Linked DNA regions of Coturnix japonica. The protein of the gene in region 1 interacts with the protein of each later gene in a biochemical or structural test. Links are inferred from orthologs where the notes say so. Each region holds a gene or a part of one and is shown on either strand. Other genes may lie near its edges.

Region 1 (3,012 bases):
ATGGGAATCTTAGAGAAGGAAATTGTTATTAAAAGGAGACGTAATTTTTAATTATCACAGATATTAAAAGTGTACCAGAGAAATATAATCTAGAAAGGAAACTCTCCATATTTCAGCATTTTTAAATGCCTTCCTCTCAAAAATGTTATTATTTCATTTTCCAGCTGATAAGACAGCGCTTTTTTTCCAAACAATGAAATAAAAACAAAAATTAAATGAGTACATAAGAGCTGAACATTTCAAGGTAGCCAGTTCCCCCACAAAGCAGTGAGGAAATTAAATGCCCACCAACCCTCTAGAACTGGTGTGCCACTGAAACGTATTCCAGTTGTCTGGAAGTCTTTCCCCCAGTTGCCTTTTCTTAACCCTGTAAACAAATTCCCGAGGCCTTTAAGAATGCAAAAATAACCAGTACGAAGGATGAAAAAATAACCAGTACAGAAGCTGCCCATGAGCCATTACTCATTAGAGTTCTAGCGCTGTGTGAAACCATCATAGCTGACCTACTTGCACTGAGTTTAAGCCCTTCAAACGCACAGCAAAGACATGAGGCTTTTGCTGTTGGGAAGACATACAGTGCTAACAGTGCTTGAAAAAAGACAAACCCAGACCTCTGAGCAGCGTACAAGCAGTGCCTGAGCACAGAGGCTGCCCAAGGCTACTGCTGCTCTAGATTGCGTGCAGAAGACACTAACATAAGGAATACACCTTGAGTTGAAGATAACATGGTTTATTTCTTCATGATATTCAGATTAAAATGTATCAATGTATTTAGCACAATACTACATTTTAGGACAAAATCATCAGTGCTTTGCAAGGCTTCATAACTGTTTATTCATTATAAATAGTAAATATTTACTGAACTTTTTACATGAAAGACATTTTTTTGTTTTTGTTGTTTTGTTCATTTGTTTTTTTTACAACACGCTGTTGGTAGAGGCTGCAACACAAAGAGATTTCGTTTTTCCCTCTCCCTTAAGACCAATGTGCGAACTAACCTCCGTACTGAATCTAGTCTAATGCACTACTTCATTGTCCTTAACACTAAAAGGAATGTATTTGTGTTCTGCCTCTCTCTTTGTTCAAAGAATAGAGAGAAATAAATAACACCGTCTTCCATCTTCCTCTCAACATCACAAAACACAAATTTATTGACATTCTAAAATGTCACAATGCAAACTTCTTGTAAACCTTGGCTCCTATAATTATCTTCTATATCGGATATCACTGTATAATTTAAACGACTGTGTTCTGTACAGGTCCATCTCTGTTCATGTCCCGTACATCACTAGAAAATGTAAACGTAATCATTTTTTCTTACTGTTTCCTGCAAATGACCTTTAAATCATGATTAGCAGCTGGATTTTAGCTGTCCAGCAACTGCAACATTTCTGTATTTGATCATTAGGAATTATGCACTGCAAAAATAAAAGTACCTGCAAAAATATAGTTCTGATTCTATCTATATGACTTTGGATGATTCCAAAGCCTGTGTGAGGTACACAGTATTGCACATTGCTAGGCAGTTGTGAAAAAATCAGTCACGTTGGGTTTTTTTTTCCCTCCAAGTTTGTTCAAAAAGGTACAATGGACCAGGAAAACTCCACATAAAAAGATAAAATGTATTTTTCATGTTACATGAGATCTTGTCTCTCGGTAAAGCAAAACTCATAAGTGGCATTTATTGACAACATGATTACAGAAGCATGGTAAGATAACCAGTAAGTTGCTCTGGAAGTCTTTTGCATTTATCCTAGCTTCCTATAGACTGTGACATTTCCTCTTGATGGCCATTTCCAGTGTGTAACAAAAGAGGTTCTGCTGCCCATGCTTCAGAAACTGGGCAGCTTTAACGTTAGACTAAAGTCAGCACTGGACGCCAGATGAGTCAGAGTATGCAGAGCTCAACTGCTAAATTTCAACATGTTCCATTTGTCCCAATCAATGCACATTAATTTCAACAACAACAACAAAAAAAAAAACGGAATGTTTTGCCAGGCAGCAATATTAAGTTCTGCTCTGTTTTGTATACCCACTCATAATGAACCATGTCGCATTTATTTATTCATTATTGCTTTTGGCCTCTGTCTTCTGTATAGCTTTGTTCAGTCTTCAGAAGTCTACTAAATGCTATGACTGGAGAGAGCGGGACAATCCTGCTCCTCTCATTGGGATTGCCCCGGTTTAGACTGCAGTGTGTTGAGAAGATCCCTGGTATCCAAGCTCTGGAGCGAGACCGGAAAATAACACCAGCTTTAACTTGAAGTGGACAGTTCATTTATGCAATATCTGGCTTCAGATAATGAAAGGCACCTGCAATAGAAAAAAAACAACAAAAGAAGCTTTTTAAGTCACGCTGTGACAACCTCGCAGCATGGGGCCATGCCAACTACAGGTTGACATTGTCATATTTAATATTGATATATCAAAGGAAAAAGACTAATATTTTTATTCCTGGGACAAGTTTGACAAAACTCTACGTATCTGGGATTATATACTGTAATGATTCTTGAGCTGACCTCATTAAGAACATGTGTTTCTAATAATGGAATGCCAGTGGTTATTTCGATTTGGACAACCCTTATGTTTTACCTAATGGCAATCAGGTTTCATGTCTCAACAATTAATAACATCAAGATGTTGTTGACATCACTTAAGAAAATAATTATGCAGCAGAATTCTTGCTCCAACCTACAGCTATCTCACCAGTGCACTCCACTCGATTTTGGAGAGTAGTAGCAGTCAGCCATTAGGATCTATTCCTGTAATTTTCTTTGTTGCAGACAAAAACACATACAATTGATCAATGACTATGGCGTTGCAGTACTCACTTTGTCCGTATTGTCCATACTGGTAGCCCGTGACGGGGTCCATGCTGTAGCCAGTGGTGCTGTAGGTTGGAGGGCAGTAGGACTGGGATGTAGGCAGGCTGTCTAAACTCTTCATGTGATCTAGCCGCTGACTGCAGCTGGCTGAGACAGTGGTGGTGGGCTCCAGACCTCCAGTCAAAGG
Region 2 (3,899 bases), on another chromosome or scaffold:
TGACCATCAAGCACAAGCAGACAAGGATAAGTGTCTTGGTCAGGAACAACAGGGAAAATCAGAGGGAAACAGGTGAAAAAGAAAAGTGCGGGCTTCACTTGGGATGGAGATGAGCTCTGCTGAGGAAGCTTTCACTACATATATGAGGTATAGAACACTTCCCCATTCTCCTAGCTTCTGGCAGTGCCTCCCGTGGGCATCTTACAGCAAGGAAGCAGTGGCACAAGAGACACCCCCTCCACCCTCCCCATCTCCATCTTTCCTCCTGAGCATCAGGACACCTTCACGCGCCCGCTCTTACCTCCAGAGCTTCCCTAGGGTCTTACTGAGCTCAGCGTTGTGGAGGTGCGGGTACTGGTCAGCCAGTTTCCTCCGGGCAGCCTGTGCCCAGACCATGAAGGCATTCATGGGCCTTTTGACGTGGGGTTTGCTCTTGTTACTTCCATTGACTCGAACAGGCATGGGTACCAGGGTCCAGTCATAGCCGCTCAGCACCTGGCTGACCGCTTCACGGATGCAGACAGGGAACTTGTCATCATCCGCCTCCGAGTCTTGCTGCTCCTTCTTGACCTTGCCCATCTCTCCATTCCCAGAGCCCGCAAGGTGTGGAGAGCTGTCCGATGCCATGGATGGTCCTGGTGAGAGGCAGTGGTGGTCTTCAGAACCCACTGGGCTCATTTCCACCTCTGACAGGTCTTGCTCATCAGCCATGGTCACTTTCTTCTTCTCACTGGGGAGGAAAGGGAGGAAGAGAAAAACAAAGGAAAGGAAGGAAAAAAAGAAGAAGGAAAATAGAGAAAAGGAAAAGCAACCACCAAATCCGACTGGGACTCCACACTCCGAAGAGCAGACCACGAGACAGGGGCTGCTTGATAAAAGCGCAAGCAAAGCAATAGCTGTGCACACCACAAAACCCGTGATCGATGGGGGTGGGGATGGATCGGGGCCCTGACCCATCGGGAGCTCTTATCTCTGCAAATGTCCCAAACTGGCATGTGCAGAGGGGACTATGGCAGCTGCCCAGCTGTGCTAAGGAATTATGGAATCATAGAATCATTAAGGTTGGAGTGACCACTAGGATCACCTAATCCAACCGTCAACCCATGCCTGAAATCGCTCTAGACCATGAAGGACAAGGGGTTCTGGGGACCCCATAGAAGGGAGCATAGAGCATCCTGCCTGCTTGCAGATCTCCATGGAGGATAAAACAAAGATCTCCCATCTCCTGGCCACCTCCAGAGCCCCAGGGGCAGTAGGAGAAAGTGCCAATGTGACACCCTACCGCTTGGCCACTGCTTGCTGCTCTTGGATCAAAGACCTAAATCACACCCGCTCCATGTCCCCAAACACGTCCTTGTATATGTACATATAAACACACATACACATATACATATGCACCTACATATCCAGATGCAAACACACACATAGTTCAACTTGAAGAGAAACCCAGGACCTGAACTGCCTGCCCTGTGCAACCCTCATATCTCACTGCCTGCAGTCACCTCTGTAAGTCCCTGCCACAGCATCACTGTCCCCTGATTGGAAAAAGAAATGCTCTAAAAATAAAGCCCTCCCCCCCCACCCCACCAACATCTCTCCCCTAGAAAGAAGTTAAAAGGAGGAAAGAAAGAAAGAAAAAAATAGGAAGTTACAGAAAAGCATGCCTCTTGTTTAGCTGCAAAAGTCAATGCGGAGCAAAGGCTGCTGTCACCCCGCTTTCAGGGGATGACATGAAATCTACGCTGGGGAAATTGAAAAAGTGGCAGAAAGTATGAAAAATAAATGTGCATGCCAGTGAGCTCAGGTAAGAAAACTTACGTTGCTGGCTGGTGCGGGCAGCAAACCCTGTGAAGGCTGCAGCTCCTGTCCCAGTGCCCCCCTGTTCTCCCTCCGGCTGTGGGGCGTGCTGCCGGGGAGGTGCTCAGGCAAGTGCCATTCCTGGAGGGAGGCTTGGTTTTTACTAATGCCCCGGCTGGATGCCTCTTGCTGGCTTTGCTGCTTAGCACTGGGGGAGGGAAGGGTGGAAGGTGGAGCCAAGTGTTGCTCAGAGCCAGGACACAGTCAGGGCTGGTGGGGAGGGGATGCTGCAGCCCCCTACCCCAACTCAGCATTCCCTGCTTACTCCCAATGGGGATAGAGAGCTCACCCCCAGGGTATTGGAGTTACTGGGCACAGGGAGGGATGTGAAGTAATGCAACTCAGGGCTGGGCTCCCCTTCTTTACCCCTGCTACCACTGACATGCTTGTGGTATCCACATTCCCAACATGTCCTGATCCCCATCATGGAGTCCAGTGGGGACCCCAGTGCACTGCAACAATCTGGCCCAGGATAATGGAGTTAAGATGCTGCAAAAAGAGCATCCTGAGTGTGGAGAAGGGGATGCAAGAGGTCAGGAGCATCCTGAGGATGGAGGACATTAAGTCCATATGAGCAGTCTGCAGAGCAAGTCATGCCTTCTTGAACCCACTTAGCACTCTTACACCCTGAAGATGGGGTCCTCACAATGTCTCCATCTCTGTGAACTCTCACCAAGATGACCAGACAGAACTTCCTTGGATGTGTTGAATTGCTCCTGAAGGCAAGTGTGAGGTCTTCTCACATATGAGGACTATCTCATAGTCATTCACTCCTTGCTGCTCATGCACTGGAACACATGCAGGCTCTAATCACACAACAGATTGCAGATTGTTCCCACCAATTCTTCCATTTTCTAGCTTGCTTTCCTTCCCAGATGCATGTGGTTGTTGGCTTCTTCACTTTCCCTTCTCATTGGGGATGTCAAAGAGAAGTGCCAGTCCTGTAACCATGAGAGATCACCCATGGAATTCTGATAATCTTCCCAGATCCTCCTGAATCCCAGCTCTTTGCTGGAGAGCCAACCTGAAGGTGAGAAGCAAGAAAATGCAAGGAGGTGAATGACTGTGACCCAGGGAACAAAGTTCAAAGGATTTCAAGAACATTTTTAGCTTCTGTAACAGATCTTTACTTTCCAGAATCTTTATGGTAGAAAGAATGGTGCTGCCCTGGGAGGTGGTGGAGTCACAGTCCCTGGAAGTGTTCAAGAACTGTGTGGATGTGGCACAGTAGGATGTAATTGGTGGCCATGGTAGGGATGGGCTGACATTTGGTCTAGCTGGTCTTAGAGGTCTTTTCCAATCTCAGTGATTTATGATTCAGTGTAACACCCCACAAAATCCCTGTCTGGCACTGTTTGAAACATAAGGGAATCAATCCCAAGGATGGTGCTGAACATCTGAGCTAACATGCTCGGAATCCAGGATCGATGCCATGCTTCCTTGACCAAAGCAGCAACTGGAGAAAGAGCCTCAAGCCTTATGGAATGGGACAATCTCTCCCACCAAGAAAGACCCCAGCTTCCAAACGAAATGATGTCAATGGTCCACTGGATGCAGAATCAAAGAAGCCACCGAACTTGTGGCATCTACAGGGAGAATGAGTCTATGCTTAACTCCAGCAAGATAGCAAGTGGTAGAGTTTGGGGTTTCCTCCATGTCTCCAGGGTCTAAGTGAGCAGAAGGATGTCTGATCCTCCAACTCCCAACTGTGGCAAGAACAAGAGCAAGCCAGGAAGGGACTTCAGTAACCCACAGGGCTCTGAATCACTGTTGGCCCCACTGCTCTCCTTCTCCACCAGGGACAGGAGCTCTTACATCCCTGCCTTGATGTATGAGACCTTTTTTGAATTCTCTTCCATCCATGATTCATCTCTTTCCTTTTGCTATGAAAACAGACACAGGAGAGCAAGCTGTGGCAGAACATACCTCTACAACAGTGGGAAGAGGTGTGATGCTTCTGTTCAGCTGAGGCAAAAAGACAAAGACACAAAAGAGGAGAGGGGAGAAGAGGAGAGAGAAGAAGGGGTAGGAGAGAGAGGAGG

What was found.
Region 2: the proteins of PAX3 (region 1) and SOX10 form a complex in vitro, tested with the Homo sapiens proteins (2 studies listed by BioGRID and IntAct). The link is inferred for Coturnix japonica from reciprocal best matches to the Homo sapiens genes PAX3 and SOX10.

Annotation. Positions count from the first base shown.
Region 1 is NC_029524.1:6,485,396-6,488,407, forward strand, and holds the end of PAX3 (paired box protein Pax-3), read right to left. Parts: coding exon 2,832-3,012; intron 2,314-2,831; coding exon 2,279-2,313; 3' UTR 715-2,278; downstream 1-714. UniProt on the Homo sapiens protein: Transcription factor that may regulate cell proliferation, migration and apoptosis. Involved in neural development and myogenesis. Transcriptional activator of MITF, acting synergistically with SOX10.
Region 2 is NC_029516.1:46,583,809-46,587,707, reverse strand, and holds the start of SOX10 (transcription factor SOX-10), read right to left. Parts: upstream 2,926-3,899; 5' UTR 2,112-2,925; coding exon 1,819-2,111; intron 731-1,818; coding exon 302-730; intron 1-301. UniProt on the Homo sapiens protein: Transcription factor that plays a central role in developing and mature glia.